3 linked regions of the Lonchura striata genome follow. The protein of the gene in region 3 purifies or fractionates together with the protein of the main gene of each other region. This does not show direct contact. Links are inferred from orthologs where the notes say so. Each region holds a gene or a part of one and is shown on either strand. Other genes may lie near its edges.

Evidence for each region.
Region 1: the proteins of CD9 (region 3) and PTGFRN purify together in Homo sapiens (co-immunoprecipitation; 8 studies listed by BioGRID and IntAct, with this or other methods). This does not show direct contact. The link is inferred for Lonchura striata from reciprocal best matches to the Homo sapiens genes CD9 and PTGFRN.
Region 2: the proteins of CD9 (region 3) and ITGA6 purify together in Homo sapiens (co-immunoprecipitation; 3 studies listed by BioGRID and IntAct, with this or other methods). This does not show direct contact. The link is inferred for Lonchura striata from reciprocal best matches to the Homo sapiens genes CD9 and ITGA6.

Annotation. Positions count from the first base shown.
Region 1 is NC_134604.1:14,647,366-14,654,598, forward strand, and holds the start of PTGFRN (prostaglandin F2 receptor negative regulator), read right to left. Parts: upstream 3,086-7,233; 5' UTR 3,006-3,085; coding exon 2,942-3,005; intron 1-2,941. UniProt on the Homo sapiens protein: Inhibits the binding of prostaglandin F2-alpha (PGF2-alpha) to its specific FP receptor, by decreasing the receptor number rather than the affinity constant. Functional coupling with the prostaglandin F2-alpha receptor seems to occur.
Region 2 is NC_134610.1:20,603,628-20,611,379, reverse strand, and holds the start of ITGA6 (integrin alpha-6), read right to left. Parts: upstream 3,005-7,752; 5' UTR 2,910-3,004; coding exon 2,749-2,909; intron 1-2,748. UniProt on the Homo sapiens protein: Integrin alpha-6/beta-1 (ITGA6:ITGB1) is a receptor for laminin on platelets. Integrin alpha-6/beta-1 (ITGA6:ITGB1) is present in oocytes and is involved in sperm-egg fusion.
Region 3 is NC_134607.1:3,688,774-3,696,052, forward strand, and holds the start of CD9 (CD9 antigen), read right to left. Parts: upstream 3,072-7,279; 5' UTR 3,006-3,071; coding exon 2,940-3,005; intron 1-2,939. UniProt on the Homo sapiens protein: Integral membrane protein associated with integrins, which regulates different processes, such as sperm-egg fusion, platelet activation and aggregation, and cell adhesion.

The sequences.
Region 1 (7,233 bases), on a different chromosome or scaffold from region 3:
CACAATAACTTACACTAATTACCAAAAGCCTTCTATTGCAGAGTTTGAATTAAACCTCGATTCAAATGACTAATTGTTGCAGCTTCTTAGGAAAAGAAACAAAAATAATTTCAGACACGAGATGCAGGAAACAACTCCATTCATCTAAACACACAGCTCCTGGGGTTCTGGCATGCTGGAACTGACTTTCATCATAGCAGACACTGAGTGCCACACAGGTCTAAAAGGTGAGTAAGAAAAAGGCCATCTCTGGGAAACCCATTATCAGTGGTTTTCCCCCAGGATCTACTGAGTACATGCTCTCCTCACTTAAAATGCCCCATAGCATTTTAACAAAAACATTTTTTTCCAGATCCACTGAAATTATTACCTCGAACCTCAAACAAGAACCAGGAAAAAAATCCTGGAGGTGGAATGCTTATTGTTTACTTTACTGTCTGAGCCCTGGTAACAATCAGATATTTGTTTTGGTTTTTGGCTTGGTTCTTGTCCTAGGAGAGATGGTTTGGTTTCCAGAGCATTTCACAGGTTGATATTAGGTAGATTGGCTGCAGAGTGAAATCACACATGAAACAGACAGAGCAAAATGCCCTCCTTTCTCAGGATCTAACCACACCAGAGGAGAGAAGAGAGACTAGATCAAGCTTTAGTATCAGGATCCCACAATCTCCTTACCAAACAGATTATAACTGTACTGGATCAAAAAGAAAGGATGATAAAACATTCTCATTCGTCACAGCCAAATACTTCAGCCATTTGCATCCTTTTACTGGATTATTTTGTAAATACCTGAAGAAAACAGTCAAGTCTAAGTACTCACAAGGGATAAACTTGTGTATGCTTCAGCTCCTTCCCTCCACCTCCCTTACACTAGAATTCCTCAATACTTGCAGCAAAAGCTCCAACCCATCTCTCCATTAAAGAGCTGCTAGAAATGGTTCACAGAAGCGTACTTCTCCCACCCAGAGTGAGAGAATGGCTACTTTCCAAACCTCTTAACCTTTGGAATATTTCACAGAAGTGACCAAGTAATGGTATCAGAAGATAGGCACTCTACAACACGCACTACAAATAAGACTACAGTTCAGAGATTTGTCTGCACACAAAAACACTTGCAATTTTAAAAGCATCATTCCAATAACCAAAAAAAGAAAAAATCCCCAAGAGACAACTCAGAACATCTAGACAAACCAGATCATGAACAATGGCCATATATCTCTGCATGCATACTTTTAAGTTCTTCTAATGATTTTATCTTGAATTAAGAAGGAAACAACTTTCTCGTTGTGCGTCACCCTTAATAGTTTTTACTTTTTGCTGCATGACCTTGAGCATCTGAGAGTCTTGATTTTCCGCTTGTCCTATTAAACCATCCTCTTGAAAAATCTTATCCCGTTTCTGTTTCTAAACAAAAATACTGAAGGTGAGCTCTCCAGCTCATGACTGTTTCCCCAGCTGGCAGCATGCCTATATTGTAAAGATAAACGAGATGACTAACGTCAGCTGCAAGTAAGAGAAAGCACAGTGGACACTTTTGTCTGGTAGGATCTTCTAGACAGAACACCCTCTGCCCCAATAGCCTGCAAGCAGCCTCAGGAAAAAGACTGGGACAAGACCAGGTTTAGGAAGCTGACTTTTCAACAGCAACTCTCAGCTCTGCAGACCTGGCTATGAAAGATTCAACATCCAAACAATGAGGAAAGTGCTCTGGCAGACTTAAGGAAAAAAAAAAGTCACAGCAAAGTCAAAAGTACAAGCACAAACTAAGCCAGTGAACAGAGTTTTGTTTAAAGAAGAGTGGTGGCAGTGTGGGGCTGGGGCACTGTTTAGCTACTCCTTCCACCCGAAATCTGGAAAAGGCTCCCACTTACTACCTGCAATTAATCAAGTGTTCTGAATCTTGAGCTACGCGGAGTGACTTGTGGGACACGCTTGCTCAGCTCATGTCCTTCTTGCTGCCCAGAGCTGACACAAAGCCAGTCAAACACTACTAGACAGAGCTATCTAATGCGAACAGTCTTCTCGTTCTCTGCTTTACATTCACTGCTACTTCTGTAACAGGGCTAGCAACAACGCTACAAGTACAATGTTGGGGGGGGGGGGGGGGGGGAAGGAAGAAAAGAAAAAAGAAAAGGAAAAAAAAATCCCACGACAACACAACACCCACCCTTTTCTGTAGAGCTTGCTCGTCTTTATTCCTGCACGCTGCCTGGCTGGCACTGACACCAGTAAGGAACAATGCCACATGTCACACTAACGACAGCTACACAATTACCTGAACGCAGCGTAAACCATCACCTACACAATTACACGCTATCTCCTAGCGGGAGAACTTCCCGGCAGAGGCAGCAAACCCCGGGAGCCCGGCGGGGAGGGCGCAGGGGAAGCGCCGCTTCCACCGCACCCCGTGCGCCCGGAGAACCCGAGCGGGGTGCGGGGCCCCTCCCGCAGCCCCCCGGGGGACAGGCAGGGGGGTCCCCGCCCGAAGGAGCGGCTTTACCTCCGCCAGGTGAGGTCTCGGAGCGAAGGAGCGCTCTCACCTCACCGCGACCACAGCCCACGCACCGGCTCCTTCACCAGCGACTACGGCTCCGCCGCCACGTTCCGCGGCCGGGGCGCCGCGGGACCCCGGAGCCGGCGGGAGCCCTCTCAGCGGGGAGCCCCGAGCAGCACCCGCGACCCACCCCGCTCCGGGGAGGCCCCCTAAAGTTTCGGTGAAATTCCCGGCGGCGATCCCCCGCAGGGAGCAGCGGGGACCGGGCCAGGGGCCGGCACAGCCCGGCGGGCACAGCCCGGCCCCGCCGGGGGCAGCGCCTGGCCGGGCTCCGCCGCGCCCCGGGCGGGCACGGCCCGGCGGGCGGCTCCTGCCGGCCCCGCCGCGCTACCTGCGGGCAAGGTGGCTGAGCACCCCCCGCCCTCCCCGCCGCGCACCCCGGCTCACCGAGCAGCAGCAGGACGACGAGGAGGAGAGGCAGGCAGGACGGCCTCTCCCCGCGGTGCCCCATGCTGGCAGGGCTGCGCGGCGCCTCTCCCTCGGCGAGCGGGACCGCGGGCGCGCAGGCTGGGCTGGCCCGGGGGCGCCGGCGGCGGCAGCGCTCCTCGGCCGGCCGCTCGCTGCCCTGCGAGCGCACGGAGCCGCCCGCCCGCCCCGACCGGCCGCGCCGCGCGGCGCAGCCAACCACAGAGACAAACTTTCCCAGGGCCCGCCCCGCCCGCAGGTAGCGGGGGCGGCGCGGCTCCGGCCCGGCCCGGCCCCTTCCCCTCAGGCGGGAGAGCGAGGGAGGAGAGCGGGCCCGGGGCAGCGCCTCGGCGAGCGGGGCCCCGCGGGGCACGGCGCTGCCCTCCGTGCCTCCCTCCCTTCTTCCCTGCCGGGCCGCCGCCGCGCACACGTGGCTGGGGAAAGCCCCGTGCGGGGAGGGCGGGCTCGGCGGCCGGAGCGTCCCCGGGACCCTCGGCGGCGGCCGCGGGCAGCGCGGGGCCGGGGCACTGCTCGGCCACTCGTTCCTGCCCGTCCGGCCCCGCCTCCGGGGCTGGGGTCCCCTCGTGCCCGCTCCGCTGTGCCCCCCGTGCCCCCTCTCCTCACATCCCTGCGCACGGGGCACCGCACACGGGTGGCGTCACTGCTGGCCCTGGCCCCAAGCGCAGCCCCAGCCGGGGCTGCCTGCTGTGCTGCGGACCGCCCCAGGGACGGGGGACACTCCTGCCCCCTTCCATGCCTGTGTAGCCTCAAAAGCCAGTGCCGGCTGTGCCCATCGTGTCCCCTGCCCTTCCACGGGCATCACGGCGATGCTGCCCTGCTCATGGCCTGGGTTAGAGCAGGAGAGCACACACACTCTCAAGTGTGTCTGTGCCCCAGGCACTTCGTGGACAAGACCACCGCTCCCTCCCCACTGATGCCAGGCAGCCCAACAAGAAGCATTGCTCTTTTTTGAGACTCAGTTTCTTTCCCCCTGCCTGAGATCCCAGTTTACTCAATAAGGGGCTGCTACAGCATGGCATTCGTGCCATCAACTCCCCCTTGCTTCCTTCTCAGCCTGCTCAGAGATTTTTGTTTGCTTGGGGATTTAATTTCCTGTTTGTTTGTAAAAACAAAGAGCAGAGGCACTGGGCGTCTCTCTAGTAATTCAGACAGTTATCTGCTCTTTCAGTCCCCTTGCCACGTTCTCTGTGAAATCTGTGCTCTCCTTGGGCACATCTTGCTGTCTGTTATCCAGGCTCTATGGTAGAGAGGGATCCACATTTTCCTGTGGGGGATCTCTGGAGCCTATGAATGGTTTGGGGCAGCTGTTCCTGCACAAAATGGCTGGTTTAGGTTTTATTCTAGCATCTCCAGTGCACCTTGCACTTGAGCATATACACCTTGCACTCAGTTTGGGCGGGGTTCAGGAAGTGTGTGCTGTGTTCTTGACTGAGCTTGATGATTATCAAGCTGGATTTTAGGCTGGACTTTGTTATTCCTTCCGTTACACTTTACGGGAAAGAGCGTGTTGCCTGATATGAATGAAATTAAACCCTCCTAAAACTGATGAGGATAATTTTCACTCTCCAGCCACAGTTACCTGAGCTCTTGCAAGGAGATTGACCTCTTTGCAGAGCTACAGCCACAAGCTGCCTGGAGAACACTTGGTCCTGTGCACAACTGAAGTTCTCCCAGCTCCCAGACAGAAAATGAGGCTGAATCCACAAATGTGACAGAGAAAAAACTGCCCCATCAAAACAAGGCTGTTTTCAAATATGTCCAAAATGCCCTCATATCCCTGCTTGTTCTTGCTGCCTGTTTCCAGACATTCTGCTCTCCTCCTTTAGCCAGCATTTAAGCACATTTTTTCTTCACTGGAAAATATCAGTTCCATAAACCAAGACGTCCCCTACATCAAATTCAGAAAGCAGGTTAGATGTCTCATCCTTACCAGTCAGCTTCTACCACACTGGTTAAACTCCTGATTGCAGCTTTAGTCCTGAAACCCTGCTATCCTGAGCCCTGGGTTGTGTTCTCAAGCACCTCTCACTTTTTTACTTCAGTAAGAACCACTTTTCCCCCCAAATATAGTCAGACTTCCAGAGTGAAGGGTCACTGTAACCCATTAATCTGACCCATATACAAAAGCCATAGATTTTTTCCTCAGCAGCTGGATCAAAGTGAGTTAGAAATACAACACGTCTTAAAGACTCCAAGTAATGGCAACTGCCTTCTTCCACCTACTAATTTATTCCAATGTTTAATTATCCTTGCTGCTAGGAAATTGCTTCTTTCAAGGTTGAATTTGTCTAACTTCAACTTTGAGACATCTGAACTTGTTATGCCTTTGCCTAGAAAACTGCACACCCATCCCATTTTCATGGATAAGCAACTATACATGGTGCTTCTATCACTTCTTGTTTAACTAAATAGATTGTTTTCTTTGAAGCCTCACATTGTAAGATGTAGTTTTGGTCACTGCAGATTTTTTGGACTCCAGTGTTTCTAAGTGGTTTTTTTTCACTTGCAGGCACCCAACATGGGTACAGTGTCATTGTGGTCTATACACACATGCTGTGCACATAGTAAATTTCTCAGCCATTGTTTTCCCCCTTCTCTCATAACTAAAAATGGAAGTAGACCATTTCTTGTGCTGTACAAAAAGCCTGTGGAGTTCATTACCCGTGTTGAGTCCCCAAATCTCTTTCTGCATCTGTGTTTTTCCTGAAAGCATATTTATCCTGCCATTCATTACTATGCTCTTCCCTCCTCAGAACATGGCCTTGCAGCAGGGTGTGTTAAAATACATTCTGTAACTGGTGGCAATTTAAGCACGTGTTTGAGATTCTCATTCAATTTGAGAGCCGTTTGTCCGAGGCTGGTAAATTGCCAGCACAGATGCCAGAAAGAGCAGGTCTGAAGCTGACCGCTGTGTTAGTCTACCTTCTCCTTCAAAGCCTGTTTTCTTCTCCTTTTTGTGTGTCCTATTTTCAATGGATTGTTACATGTATGTGATTATGTCATTTTTCCCCCTTGCCAATTCCATTTTGTATCGTTCAGCTATGAGAGCCAGTCTGAGCCAGAAGCTTTCTCCAAGTTGAGACAAATATCTTCCTCTGTTTTTGTGCATTTTCCATGTTTATTCATGAGCTGCAGAGTAAATACATGGTCAGTTGTTTGTTTCTCAGGAAGGCATCCCATTTGACTTTCAGTGTTTAGCATGTTGTTGATTTGAGTAGATAGCACATATTTATTTATTGATGATGCTGTAAAAATGCTTGCTTACGTTTCTTCATACCTACACTTCTGCATAATGTATAGGCTGAAAGTGTCTCTCATTTGGGGGTAACTAGGTTAGCCAGCAGAATTTCAGGGAAGGATCAAGATTGGAATGTTACATTAAACACACTATTATGCATGCACATGTTCATGAAACATGAACACACCCTGATCCTAAAGAAGCCCACACTCAACCACTCCCTGCTTGCACCACTCCCCCAACATACACTTGCTAGCTTTTGCAGTTTCTGTCTTGGCAAACATGAATAAACAACTTTTGCTCTCCCCACCTTGTTGCCTGAGCTGCAGAGGACAGGGTGAAATGTCTGTGTACAAGGCCCACAACCAACACGAAGCTCAAGACTAAAAACATTTAGAAGGGCTGTTCAACAGCAGAAGGACCCAGCACCTGCTTGATGAGGACCCAGCACTCTGCTTAGGGGCAGAGGTGCAAAAGTGCTCCTTTGATGCAGTGCAGATTGCAGGCTGCAAACCTTAACCAGGGGAGAAATCTTTTGGTGCCATTGCCTGGCATGTGGCAGCCAGGAGCTCTCCACAACAAACGAGAGGCGTAGGCAGACAGACAGGTAATGCCATGCTCCACTGCCCCGTCAGCAGCACAGCAGCCTCTAAGGCAGGAAGAGAGCTCTCAGTAGCTTCCAAGCTGTTTGCATGAGAACCCTGGGGAAAGGGAGCCACAGCACAAACATTGTCCTGGACACATCTGTGCAGGGCTGTGCCGTCTCATTTAAGGACTTCTTCTCAAGACCTAGGGACTTTATCCCCAGCATGCTGGTGAAATTCTACTTTGCTTGGTTTCATTCTGCCCCTAGGTTCCCTTTGTGTTTCCAAGCAGGCACAATACTCGTCTTCATTTCCTCTTCTCAACTCTTGTTAAATTTTGCCTTGCTCCAGTGAACAGAGTGCGTGTTCCAGCCAATGGGCTGTCCCATCACGGTTGTGGCTGACATGAGCGCCACGCTCGGGTTTGTGAA
Region 2 (7,752 bases), on a different chromosome or scaffold from region 3:
ATACTCAGCACCGTTTACAACTAATGTCAAAGCAATTGAACAGTCATCTCTTCATAATGGTGAAAGTTAAGCAATTAGAAAACATGGCATTTGTAGCTAACACTAATAAACTAATTTGCCATTCAAAGCTAATATGAAATCCATAACATTCTGTGACTAAGCAAAAAAGATGGTCAAAAGCAAATACCATGTTTAATCAAAGGCTATTTCAGCTGTACCTTTGTCACACCTCCCAGACATTCTCCACCCGCATCTTTACAGAGGATTATTGCAATGATTAAATCACACTGAACACTCCTGTGTGAGGAAGAGGGAACCATTTCACTTAACAAATGCGTAAGTGAGGTAAGAGGAAAATTACACATAATTTAATTTGTTTTACCAAGCCATTAGCCCCTGAATACAATCAGTGTATTTTACTTTCTCTCATTTTCTTGTTTTTCCAAAGATGGACTAATCCTGCACATGCTTAATGACAACCTAATTTTGTAAAACTTGAGGGACAGAAAGGTGCTCAAACTGACAGGTTTCTTTGAAATAAGGGTCCCTGCCAGATGAGATTCCAAGTATCACTCTTAATTATGCTTCAGTATGAATTGGGAGTTTTTGTATTTTTGGCAACTACTTAACAGTATTCACACTCTAAATGTAACTGTATTTTGAAATTAGCATCTATTCAAGAAGAAAGGGTAAAACAGATACTTCTATCTGACTAAGAGATAGCTGTATATAAATTCACTTTTGCAGCATAGGTAAGACAGACCCAAACGCACCTGGGAATGCAGAGGTATTGCACCCCTGAGTCCTGCTGTTAAGTAACAGGCAGCATGAAGGCATTAGAAATAACTGTTTCTCAGCAGTAGACCTCAGTGTGACCTCCTGTTCCCATAACTTTCTACCTTCCCCAAGTATCCAGACAGCAGATACCATTTGTTCCAGCTATGAAGAATCCATCAATCCATGGAAAAGACCACACAAATCCTTTGGTATTAGCTCATCCTAGTTCATTTTTATCTGATATAAAAATGCAGCCTAACATGGAAGGCTTCTCTTTAACACTCCCCACCAAACCTCCTTCTTCAGAAGGCAGAACTCAAAGTGAGCTAAACACAGCTCAGTCCCTAAGACAGCTACAGTTCAGCATATTTAATGTCTTGTTCTCATAAAGCCACATACTACAACTCTTACAGACACAAAAATTATGTTCAAAGTGACTACAACATGCCTGTTTGACATAAAAGGTTTCATTCCAAGCATACTACCCAGCAGCTACCCAGGGTAGCTTTCCAATTATTTATGCTAAAACTCATGGATTTGAAAAATGGCCAAGACACCTCATACTCAGAAGCACATGTCACCATAAAACGCAGTTTGTCTAGCCTGGTTTTGTCTCTAATAGAGATCCTTGCTTCTCATGAAAGCCTGGATTCAGAAAGCCATGTCAAGGCAGATAGCATCTGGCTCTGCTCTTTGACTGCCTGAGGAAGCACTTACTAGACATACAATACAGAACTTTCATGCCAATAATCTCTGAAGCATTTCAGCCAAATAGTACATACCAGCTTGAATACTGTGACTGTCCTTGTGTTTCTGCTGCTTTTTTCTTCTCAGTAATTGGCTGTCTGCATATTCCTACACACTCATTCTGCCAGGACCGACAATACAACAGGAGACTAACAAGCTTCAGGCATTGCTTTCTTGGTCGTACTAAAAGAGTCTACTCTAAAAGTAGACTTATGCAAGCGTAATCCTGTCAAGAATTAAGATAAAGGCCTCTGGAAAGGAGCTCATAGATTTGCATTTCATTCCTCAGGATACTATGGGTCATTTTATCTGCTAGGTGGAAGATGAAACATGCGTGTATGTGACTTATACTCCTCTACACACTGTAATTTTTATGAAATCACACAGGAGCGCAAGTGTGAGCAAAATGAGCCCACAGGATTTTTCAATTTACCACCTAACTTTATGAAGAATATTATATCTTTCCAGCTTCCTCATTTCGTAAACTCTATATGGATAATGAATGTATCTGGCCTTGAATTAAAACTAAATATTTGAGGAGGAGGCATTTATTTAACAATAATACTTTACACTCACACGCTATCCAGCACTACTGGATAGGGTGGGGTCCACCACTGCTCCGCTATGGACACAAAGCAGCAAGGATGCTGACGATGTACACAGGAGCCTTATTTTGCCTTCGTAATTTCCCAAAAGAAGTTTCATGCATACATCACTAGCCCCGACTTATTTTTCCTAACTTCTTTGTATCACCTCTCATCTGCATTCCCGGGCAGGGTCTGTGTCGAACAGCAGACCCGGAGTTACCTGAGGCCGGGTATGCCGCGGAGCACAGACCCGAGCGCTGGGGAGGCTCCGGCGGCGCAGACCGGCGCGGCCCGCGCAGGAGAGCGCCGCGGCGGGAAGGGCTCCCAGCGGCGGCTGCCGCTCGCTTCCCCTTTCCAGCCTCGGCTCCGCGCAGGTCCCCGGGCGCGGGGCCGGCCCCTCGCCCCGCCGCACGTCCCCGCCGCTCGGCGCTGCCCCGGCTCCGCAGCGCCCCGCGGCAGGTGCTGCCCATCCCTCGGAGGGCCGCCGGCGGCCCGGCCCCGCTCCCGCCGCCGGCCGGACACCTCGCGGGGGCTGGCGACCCCGGCCCGCCGCCAGGGGAAGTTTCCCGGCGGTGGAAGGTAGGAGGGTCCCCGCAGGCGGCCCGGGACGGGGCCGGGCGGGGCGAGGTGCACTTACAGCCGTTTCTCCTGCGGCTGCAGCTGCCGGTGCATGGCCAGGGAGAAGCCGAAGAGGCTGCCCGTCTCCCCGCTCCAGCTGATCACGTTGTCCGTGTCCAGGTTGAAGGCGCCGGCCAGCCCCGGCAGGAGGGGCAGGTAGAGGAGAAGCAGGGCCGCCATCTGCTCTTGCCCGGCACGGGAACCTGCCGCCAGCGCCGTCGCCGCTCCCCGCGCCGAGCGCGCCCGTTGTGCCCCGCCGGCTCCGCGCGGGGCCCGCCCCGCCCCGCCCCGCCCTCCGCGGCTGCCCGGCCCCCGGCACAGCACAAAATGTCCCCGGGGCCGGGCCCCTTCCCCTGGGAGGGGCAGCCGAGGGCGTCGCCCCGCCCGTGACTCGCCCATCACCTCCCGGGGCCCCCAGGGGGCTCACCGTCTGCCGCGGCCGCGGGCTCGGATGGCTTTGCGCTTCGCGACACGAAATAAAGCCTTACCGAGGGGCGAGTCACGGCCGCAGGTGAGGAGCGGGCCGTAGCCCCCGTGCACCGTTGGGGAAAAGGGCAGAGAGCTCCCACGGCGGGGGGAGATGTGTTTGAGCCATCAAACCATGCCCCCCTGGGGGGCTGATACCGGTCTGGCTGCTGCTCAGCGCCGTCAGGTCGGTCCGGGTACCGACCATGGGCATAACATTGCCCAAATGTGCTAAGGTTGGTACAGAACTATGGACAGTATGATCCCAGTATTGAGTCTGTATTCCCCAAATTCCTTCATACGTGCAAGAGAAGAACTAAAAAAAAAAAGGACTGGGAAAAAAATAAAATCTCTCTTTTACCAGACTATTCACAGACCACATGAAAACAGAAACTGAAGACTACCTGAATCTCCTCCTCCAGCATTTCCTGTCTCTGAACATATCTGAAAATTTTTTATTCCTACCTTTTAATTGTTCAAAAACAGTATGTTGGTTTGGATCCCAGGTCATTTTCTCATGCTTTCACCCATAACTCCAAAAGCTTATTTGCCAGCATACCTTATCAACTTAACCCACTCCAGAGAAACAGAGAGGTTTTAGTTTTTGAACAGAATCTTGGTTTAGTGCTCTGGTTTAGGAAAGCAGATGCAAGTTTTTAAAACCTCACAAATTCTTAGCAGCATGACAATACTCAATTGTTCTTTTCTACTGGTATCTAGAGTACAAAGAGAGAAGAAGCTAAGATTCCAGAGAAACTGAGAAAAGGGCAATAGAGACAGAGCACTCAAATCTGTTGATACTCCAAATAACTCCTTCTGAAACAATACTCCCACAGAGTTAATCCAAAGTACTTTTTCCAGAGTAATTATTCTAGGATACCTCCATGTATAGACAAGTCTGGCTCAAGTCCAAAACACCCTTGATCAAAAGAGGGGAAGAAAATGCACCAGAATTGTGTTTCTAATGTGGAAACAAAACATTTTGTTAAATTAAGCTCCCAGATATTTATTACTAATAGAGTCCTTCCCTGCTTGCTCCTCCATGCCCAACTCCTTCAAAGTCTTAATCCAGTGTTCAATCACTGCCACAGCAGAAAATTGTACTGGCATAAATACTGCCTTAGTTTCACTTAAGGACCTGTAAGAGGGCAGGGTCCCAGACTAATTACAGGCTGTTTTACTATCATCTACGTATTTCACAGTAATTAGTAAAGATTTGAAAACAAGTCCTTTAAAACAGTGTTGATATCTGTACCAAAGTTTTAGCTGTTTTGGGACAATCAAAACTTGTGTGCTTCTAATACTCTTATAGTAACTATAGTTAATTTTTAAGTAATGCTTGTACTCAGTAACTTGCAAGAAGTCACAGAAGTACTTTCATCCAGAGCTTCCTGAATGATACTGGCACATTAGTTTTATTTTACTTCTCCCCCTCCCTCTAACCAGCACTGCCTGAGCATGTTGTACTTGTTTGTTCATATCCACAAAGATTGCTGAGGGGAGACAGAATTTTCTCATCTCCAGATGCAGTAACAAGCATTCCAAGACACAGTAACATTAACACCTGTCTCAAGGGACCACAGCAAGAACAACAAAAATAGAGTGTATACAGGGTGGAGCAAAACTGCACATGAACAGCTTAGAATTACCTTGGATGGTCTCTCATAATTCCGTACTATTTTCATTTGCTCTAGATGAGGAGAGAGGGGGGGGGGGGAAAGGTTTTACAAATATGTCAGTTTCCTTCCTTTGCTCTTCCTCCAAAATAAACATACTGTGAGTTATCTGTAGCTAACACATACTTCAGGAACTCCTCTTCTCTACAATCCTGGTATAAAGGGGGACCATACGAAGATTAGGTATGATGACCAATTAAACATGAGCACTCTGTTATGCATAATAACGCAGCGATTCTAACAAATGCAGTGGCCAGATCAAAGCAGTTTCTCTTTTTTGTAACAAACACTGTGCTATTGCTGAGTTTTCAAGCTGTCTGCTTATTAATGGTGTGTTGATAGTCGGCTGAAGGGCTACAAGATGTTTGCATGTTGTGTCTACACAATGAGCAAGCCTCAATGTGTAGACACATGCATTACTGCCAGCAATACTTTCCTCCTCTGTACAACTGCGTAGCTAATTACAAAGTAAAAAAAAAAAATCATTTCTGGAAAATAAAAGAGGTGGAATGCAGAAGCTAGAGCTTGGCAAGACATTTGAAGGGTTTCCCTAGAAGGAAGGCAAGGCACAATGTTTTACATTTCTGAAATTCTATCCTTTGTATCAACAATATACTGCACAAAGAAATACACAGTTTGTGGATGTTCAGCTGTGCAGCTTTAATGCAGCACATCAAATGGTCCTGAAAAGACAAAATATGTAAACATCCCCATCCCATTTCCTTTTAAAAACTGCTTGATTTCTTAATTTATGTAATTCCGGATGAAAAAAAATGATATCACCAAAAAGTTTGGTTTACTATAAAAGTTCCAAAGATACAGCATTGTTTCAATTCAGAAATATAAACTAGGTTTAAGTGTTAGTAGCCTGAATGGTTGGATGTTTTCTCTTGAACACAATATCCATACCATTTCTAGAACTGCACATTCTAGAAAAATTATATACATTTATTCAACAGACCCCTCTTAACAGCTACAAGAAACACCTGCATTTTTATGCAGCCAGGTTATCAGACTATCTTTGCCAGTATATCCTCATAGCTGTTCTTAGTTCCCTAACAATCATTAGAAATCGCAAACAGCAGCATGGGAGATAAAGGGGCTTCAAATGGTGATTGAAATAAATTGCTCAATACCATGTAAGCAAAATGTTTTGCTTTAAACAATCTAAATCCAGAGCATGAACATAGTTATATTTACACACTTGGTATTCTCACTTACACAGACATAACACTGATTGTATTTATGTCATTTATAACTGGATGAGGAATGTCTCCGTCTCTCTCTCTTTACTATTTTTTCAGAAAGGTAACCAAAATGCAGGTTTTTTACTAATTGCTCTATTTAAGCAACAGTTCCAAATGAAGATGTTACTACTTTCCTATAACTTTGGTTTTTTCTCTTTGATGTCTAAAACAACAAGATGACATTCTGCCATCCTTTACTTGCTTGTAATGTTAAAATATTTTATGTTGTTAGATGTAGTATTACACAAATAAAAATATGAGTCAAAAGAAATATTTCAGTCCAGACATGGAATTTTGGTGAACACTGAGACCAGTGTTCACCAAAGAACACTGAAGCACTTCTTTCAGTCTTTTACATCTAGAGAATGTTTTTCCACCCAAGTTGTCAGGTACATTCCTTAAGTAGTTTTAGAATGACGAGAACTGTTTGGAGAGTAAACATCTATGTAAACATACAAGGAGGCACTTAATGAGCGTAGCTGTGCAGAGATCAGAGGAACATTGGTGACAAATGGGAATCAAGCAGCCATAGTTTGTATTTCTATGGAAGGAATTAAAGATACACCTTCAAAATTACTTAAAACTAAAGCATAAAGTTGCAGCGATTTTGAATGTATGCCTGTGTTTTAATTCACTAGTAACATACACCACTGTGTAAGATTTGCCCCACCATAAGGCAAGATGAAGCTGAAACATCATTATACACATCACAGGCACCTTTGCAGCCCCATTCTGTGGTTTTCTCAGAGACATTTATATCCCCAAAGCTCTTACATTACCACAGCTGAAATTTGTATCACTGACTGCATCTCAGACCCATTCGTACCATTCATGCTTTTCTTGATCTGCCATATGTCCTGCACATGAAACCTTGCCTCTCTTGGAGAAATTTTCACCAGTGTAGAGAGACATAACCTGATACCAGATGCAAACTTTTGTGTAGTTCTAGCCAACTCTCCCTCAATGTGCATCTTAAATTAGTTAATTTGCACCAAAGCAGCCAACAATGGCGTATAAGGAAGCAGAGGAGATCTGAAAGATAAACAAGGTATTTCTTGGGTAGGTGTTGGCAGGGAGGGAAGAGAGAAGGTTTACAAGCAAGTTATTCACAGGCCCTCCCTGGAGATTTTCCCCAGGAATTTTGAAAGCAAGACAAACCTTCACAGGACATATTTTAACCCCATCAAGAGACAGAAAGGGTTATTGTTCAGGACACTTTCACTCTCCTAGCTCACAGAGACCTGACTAAAGAGCCTTTGGCCATCACCCAGAACACAATTCCACACAACTTTGATAGCACTTACCTCCAAGGACTGCACTGGGTGCTGATGCTGGACAGGACATGGCCCTGGGACAGAACCTGCAAGGCACAAGATCAGGAGCTCCAGTCACTCAAGGACTCTGGTCTCTAGGTCATGATCTAGCTTACTGTAACAGCACAGCTGAGAGCCCAAGTGCCTCTGGCAGCAAACTAGTGGAAACAGCTGCTTGGTCATTTCCACACTTGTTACACCTGTCCTCCCATCAGGCCTGGAGCAGACCCAGCTGTGAGGCCAGCCAGCTGGCTGTTAGCTTCCATGGGGGAGGTAAAGCTCCCTCCGATTGCACAGAGGCTTCTAGTGATTCATGCAAAGA
Region 3 (7,279 bases):
AGCTAGCACCCCAGCAGTACCCTCTGTTCTTCTTCAGATGAGGTGGGGCTATACTGACCAGCACAGTGCTTCTCTCTGCAATAGCAGAGCTGCACCTCACCACAGCCCTGCCTCCACTCCAATACCCATCTACCTCATTCTTGCCAGGATCTTACTCCAGGACTGCCTGGTTTGCACAAGAGGCCTGAGATTTCCAGGAGATATTGAACAAGTGAACCAACGCCAACCAGTCCTCGCCTTCTCCAACATTCAGGCTTCTGCTCTAAGGCAGCATCTTCATGAAGTCTGACTTCCCCTTGCAGTAGCTAGTCACTCCTGTACATGTACACCAGCTTTTAAGGAATCTTCTCTCCAGATAGTCCATGTGTGCTACTCCCTGTGTGCTCCAGACTACCCTAAAGCAAAAACCCAGCCTCCAATTCGTTGCATTCCAGCTCAGAGAAGGGATGGTAGGCAGGGGGAGTTACCTAATCACAACTCACTTAAATGTTCTGAAGTGTTGTGTGACCTTGGAGAATTGTTAATCAAACATTTGCTGCTCCTCCTGTTTCACTTCCTTTGCATCAAAAGGTCAGTTCAAGCCTGTGCAGGATTCAGAGTCAAAGACAGGTTATGGCACAGAACTCTGTGAAAATCTTCCCCAGTAAAATAAAGTCCTGCTGAACATCACTCCCAAAACTTTTATACCTGGAGCCATTACTGTCTGGAAGAACTCCCTGAGAAACTCTTTTCCTCATGTGTCTGAGAAGGGGTATGTTACTTGGGTTTGCTTTTGCAAATTACTCCTAAAGCTTTCCTTTGGCTAACATTAGCAGCATTTATGAACCTTTATTTCCTTCCTTTGCATACAGCTTCAAATTTGAAAGTTTCAATTTTTATTTCAATAGCTTCCTTTACCAAGTTGTTTGAGACTTTCTACTTCCTCTTACCCTTGTTCAAGCCTCTGATGGAAGCAAGTACATTCCACCTAACGTGGCACCCACAGCCTTCTGTGCAGGGTTGCTGCAGACCACTGAAATTCCTGACCTATCCTTTTGAGGCAACTTATTTCAAAAAACAGAGGTACAGAATCGCACTTGAGCACAACAAGTTTTGTTAACACACTTCCATTACTTCACAGATTTTTCACATCTGCAAAGCCATAATAAAACATTACAGCCTTTTTTCTTATTAGGGTGGTTCTTGCCTTTTAATGCTGGCAGCTCCACAACACCTTTCTTTTTATGCTGTTCAATATGGAATAACCCAAGATACAGCTACTTTATTTCTCCATAGAGGACACAAGGTTTGCTAACACCATACCCCCTAAACTCCCCTTCAACTGTTTTCAGCAGGCCACAATGACATGTGGTGGTCCCCACAAACCAAGGATCACTCCAGCTGGTCAAACACTCCCTTATCTCTGGCTGAACCAAGCTGCTTGCATCTCACTGCCTCTTGGGGCCTCCAGACACTTACTGGGATCACCAAGATGCATTTATCTCCTTTTAATTCCTTTTTTCTTCCTCTTCTCTTTCCCACATCCTAGCTGCATACTGCTAGCCTCAAGAAGCCAACTTGAAAAGCCATCATCTCGCAGCTCCTCTGGGCAGCAGCACCACTCTCCTTCCATCCACCCCGTCACCAGTACAATTCTGTATTCGCGAGCACCCCTAAAGGTAGAAGTAAAGCCTGAGCACTTCATGATCATGACACTCCCAAGCGACAAGTAGATCCCGAGCTAAACAAAAACTCTCTCCCTATTCTCAGCCCTGGTCCCTAGACAAGCTGGTGAAGCTCAGGTTAAAAGCTTCTTTGAGGCAATGCCGTTGCCACAACAAGAATTTTTGTCCCATAAAATACTCTGCAGAAAGTCTACGGCTTTGAAATAAACAAACAAAAACAAGGCAAACCACGAGTACTTCAGTCTCGTTTAACAGGTTTAGAAACTCACTTGAATGTAAGTTTCAGACAATGTTTTATTAGGCTTTTCCTTCTGATCAGCTCTAACCCTGCAAATGCGACAGCGCTGCTGGCGAGTCCCGGGTGGCAAAATATGCTTTTTTGGGTCAAGTTTTGCACAGCTTCCCTCAACTGCAGCCCAGCTGTGTATTCTCAACTCTGCTGCAACCCATTTCGGCATCGAGACATCCCGAGCACTTCGCCCATTATTAACACGGCAACTTCCACTCGTCCCACGGGCAGTGCTGCGACTGACTCCAGACGCGGCTTCTTCCCGCAGCTCCAACTTCATTCCTCCACATCACAGCCACACCGCGGCCAACAGCCGAGAGAAGACGCAGCTTTTGAAGCCACACACTTTGCTCCTATCCGTCAGGCATACGAGCGGCTCCCGCAGTAATTTTCCACGCAGGAGCCAGCGCTAAATCGAGGTGCCCACGCCCCGAGGGCTTGAGGACAGCTCCAACCTCTCGGCTCAGCCATGCTTTCTCACGCCGGCCAGGAACCACACCGGAGACGCGATTCGAGGGGTGCCGGTCTGCTCCAGGAGATTAAACCCGAAGGGAAGCCACAGCTCCCACCGACAACGAGGAGCTCACACACACGACAACTTGCGAGGAGCCGGCTCACCTCGGGCTCAGCCCCGGCACCGGGAAAGCCGGCAGGGAGCCCGACCTGCGCACAGTTTTAGGGAGAGGATTGTGTGCAGTGCTGGGGATGCACAGTGGGAGCAGAATTGCACAAACCCAGCACCCCCTCCCCGCCTGGCAGCGCCCTCAACCCGCCTTTCGATAAAACCCCAAAAACGTGAAAAATAAAGCGGTGAGCACGCCGGCACCCGCTCCCTCTCCTTCCGGCGGGGGGCAGCAAGTGGAGAAACCAGCAAAAAACAGGCATCAAAAAACCAAACCAAACGCGGCTCCCGGCGCGTCCCCTCCATCCCCGTCCCGCGGGCTCCTCGCCGGGCAGCGCGGGGGACGCAGCCCGGGGCGCCTCACCCAGAAGATGAAGTTGAAGCCGAAGAGCAGGTACTTGATGCACTTGGTGCCTCCTTTGACGGGCATGGTGGCGGCTGCGGGCGCGGTCACCAGGCTGCCGCGCTCCGACGCCGCTCCTTAAATGCGGCCCTGCCCGGGCCGCTCGGGGACTCCCCTGCCCGCCCCCGGGGCCGCCCCCGGCCGCGCCCCGCACCTGCGGCCGCCCCTCTCCGCCCCAGGCCGGGCGGGCTCCGGCAGCGCCACACGGGGCCGGGCCCCGCCAGCCTTGGGGCTCGGAAATGTCCCGGCATGGAGGGGAAGCCCCGGGAACGTCGGGGTCCCGCTGCCGGCCCTGCGCGGCGCCGCCTCTGCGATCCCACCCTGGCAGGGTTGGGGTTGTGGCCATTCCCTGGAGAGCCCGCTCAGTGCCCCACCGCCGCCCTCTGGGTGCAAAACTTCCTCCTAATGTATAATCCAGCCCACCACCCCAGTCCGGCCTGCTTTTGGTACAGATCTCAGAACCCTTAGGGCTGGAAGGGACCTCTGTAGGTCACCCAGTCCAACCAAGGCAGCGTCACCCAGAGCAGGCGACACAGGAATGTTTCCAGGTGGGTTTGGAATGTGTCCTGAGAGAAAAGAATCCACACGCCCTCCCTAGGCAGCCTGTTGCGGTGCTCTGCCACCCTTATCGTAAAGAAACTCTTCCTCGTCTTGTGGTGGAACTTCTTGTTTTAGTTTATGGCCATTGCTCCCTGTCCTGTCGCTGGGCACCACAGAAGAGAGTCCGGCACCATCCTCTTGACACCTGCTTTGAGTTATTTATATGCATTAATGAGATCCCCTTTCTGACTCCTCTTAATAATCAGGCCCAGCTCCTGCAGAGATGGTCCAGAGCCCTCATCACCTTTGTGGCCTCTGCTGGATGTTTAGTTTAAAATGAATCCATCTAGCTTAAATGGATGTTTTCTCACACAAGATAAACTTACAGCGTAGTTCAATTCCTTTAATATTTCAAATATGTCTTCAAATATAACTTTGTATGAAATTACAAACATCCACTTTAGGAAAATAAGGCGGGTAAGTTTCAGCCTACCAACTGATCCATGGTAGCTGGTTGCACACGTGCTCTTAGGTCATCCCAGTTGTGAGAAAAAACAAGGTAAATTTCAACTAAGAATTTCCCTTTCATCGTAACAGGGTGTTCTGCACTCAGCATCTGAGCCTCTTAGCTCAGGGGTGAAAACTGAGGGCTTGTACCTTAATTTCATACAGTGGGATTAGAAATTAATCAGGTATTGAGAGTCAAAAAAACACCCAAACAGAACAGTAAAAACAGAAAAGCCATGCTGAAATGCAAATAAAAACATATTGGAGTTTTTGTTGCCAAAATAAAGGATAAGATACAGCACATTCCAGAGGCAATACGGAGGGGGAGATGCTGGCTTGGGCAGCTGCTTCCCAGAGCAGGTTACAAATCAGGAATACCTTTCCTATAAAATAAAGGGAAGCAGAGGGATGGAGGCCACAACAATATAGATGCAGAAAGGATGAAGTTAACAAATGCATGTGACTAAACTCTCATGGTAACTGGAAACTGAGCAAGGTTTTCTGTGTAACTTCTGGGTTGGTTTTCTTTTGACACTTTCCCATTAAGAATTTATGCTGTTAGTTAAAAAATAGCTGCTTGTAGGATTGAAATTTGTGTTTCATTCTATTGATTTTTCTTTCTTATTCCTTACCCTCCCCACTCCAATGCAGTTCTTAAATTCCTCTTGGTGGTTTTCCTTTTCTCCCTTCAGTTTTTTCTAACTGTTTTGAGAACGGAGGAGGAAATATTGCTGAGTAGAAGTTGCAGTATTGAATATTGTTCCTTTGAAGCTGTTGGTTCTTAAGATGTCATGTGAGGTCCCTGAGAAAAAAAAATGGTATGGAAGTATATTTCAAAATGAGCTGTCTATTTTTTGCCACTTTAGTGAGGTCATTGACTTCAGGACCTTCTGTGAGATGGTCAGATGAGCAAGAATAGGGTTTCCAAATATTTCTGGTTACAGACTCTTTGTGTCTTTGTGAGGTCTCTGGTCATTTCCTGCTGACCCCACCACAGATTGCTCCATAGCTTGGGAAGCCTGTGAAAAAGTCACTTCCTCTTTCCACCAGCATCTCTTTTTATACTTCATACATTTTTTCCTGCAGACCTGGAATGATATTCAGGGTTTGCAGGTGGGAAGTGCTGCTTTAGACCTCAGTGGATGGGTCACCCCAGCTGGTGTCACAGGAGGCTGGCTGTTCTTACCCATAAGAAAACTCTTAGCAGGGCTTTAATTGCCAGTGGTGTTGGACTGCAGCTTATCTTTTAATGAAAGGGGGCTTGTATACCATCTCACCTATCTGACATGCTGAAAATCAGGAATACCTTTCCTATAAAATAAAGAGAAGCAGAGGGATGGAGGCCGGCCACAACAATAATGATCCAGAAAGGATGGAGTTAACAAATGTATGTGACTAAACTCTCCTGGTAACTGAGCAAGGTTTTCTGTGTATCTTCTGGGTTGGTTTTCTTTTGTCACTTTGCCATTAAGATTTATGCTGTTAGGTAGCATCAGTAATATAGCTTCCCTTAAGTTTCTAAAATTAAGGATCACAGAAGAACTTTGGATAATTTCCCTCCTAGCTTTGTATTATTAAGCTTCTTATGCTAATATTGCGTTAAAACAACTTTCTTTAAAATTCATGGGCAGTAACCTTTTGATCAGAGGCAAGAAATGGACCTGTTCAATAAAAACCTCCTGTGCATTTGAAAAAAAATTAAACACTCCCCATTCACCTGGCAAATTAAGTTATGAGGAAGTAAAATGTGTTTGTACATCTTCAGTATTCTTGAGAATATGGAAGGAAAATAATGCTGTGGCTTGGATTTTTTTTTGTGGGGTTTTTTTTTGGTTTTTTTTTGGTTTTTTTTTTTTTTTTTTGTTCTTGTTTGTTTTTTTTTTTTTTTCCATTCCATACAAAGTATCTGGCGAGAACATTTATGTTTCACTCTTCCAGGGTGTAACGATCTGGTAGATGCAATTCTCTGACCACACCTGAACTTCTCTAACTAGTGGAATGAGATAGTAATCAACTGAATTTCTGCATAATAGAAATCACTAAAGGAAGTTAATGACCCTTGTAGAAGTACTTCACACTGATTTATTATTTTGACACTTTGTATTTGCATGGGATAATAGGCATTTTACATGAAATATTTATTATCTGCACTTAAAATTACCCTGGGTGGTTAAAGAGTTATTTTGTCCTGGCACAGAGAAAAGCAAATTCAGGATATTACTAACAAAAAAAAAAAAAAAACAAACAACCAATCAGAGTTTACCAGAAGCCTTTTAAAATTACACTTTCAACAATCTAGACCCAGCACTAACTATCTGTAGAACTTTTCTCTACAGGTAGGCTGAGTTATTTTATCCTATTTAAATGTGAAACTGAATGTCATGTTTGGGCCAATAGTGAAGAGGAGAAGCATTTGCTTCTCGCCAGGAAAGATTTTCTCCTCAGACTGCACAATCCAAAGGACCCTGATCCTTTGATTAATATAGGAAGGCAAAGGAGAGGAGGGGTTTCTCTCCTGACTGTATTTAAGGATGGTGGGATTCTCTGGTAAGAACTGCAGAATTCCCTGCCTCCTTGACCTGTTTTCCTGATATCCCTGCCTTAAGAATATTTGGAAGGACTAGTGTCAACTGGCTTGAGGCCTTTAACCTTCTTTGCATAAACAGTTCCAGGTCTTTTAAAAGGTTTTAGCTCCCTTAAAAAGCCAGGCATAAACGGTGGGAACTGCAGAGAGATAAAGTACAAGGCTTTCCCCACCAAAGGACAGGGATTAACAAATTTTTTGAGTGTCAGTTAAAGGAGAAATACAACAACAACATTTTGTTCTTTGTAGAAAAGTTACATCTTTGACTGCCCAAGCCAGTCACAAAATTAAAAACCTGAAGGTTGTTTTGCTTGCTTTTTAGCTTCAGTGATTGGGTTTTTTTTTAGCAGGGACTGTGATGCTGGGCTGGATCTGTCTGTCTGGTGAACAGTGAGGCTGTACAAACACAGTTCTCTGCTGTCAGGGAGTTGGGGATGGATTTTGAGAGGAAGGAGGAAATAGGAAGTCACAGATCCTATGCTGATGTCATCTGGGTCATCCTAAACTCTTGAGCTTGTCCATGGAAAATAACACTAACTGCCTTACTTCTGGTCTCACCTTTCCAAACTAATTTTAAGGTACTTTGGTTTATTTCAACACAGGAATATTTTGGAATGGTGATGGGTGAGTGGTTCCTTCCACATCTGAGGCTGTGAGCGAGAGGCTGGTC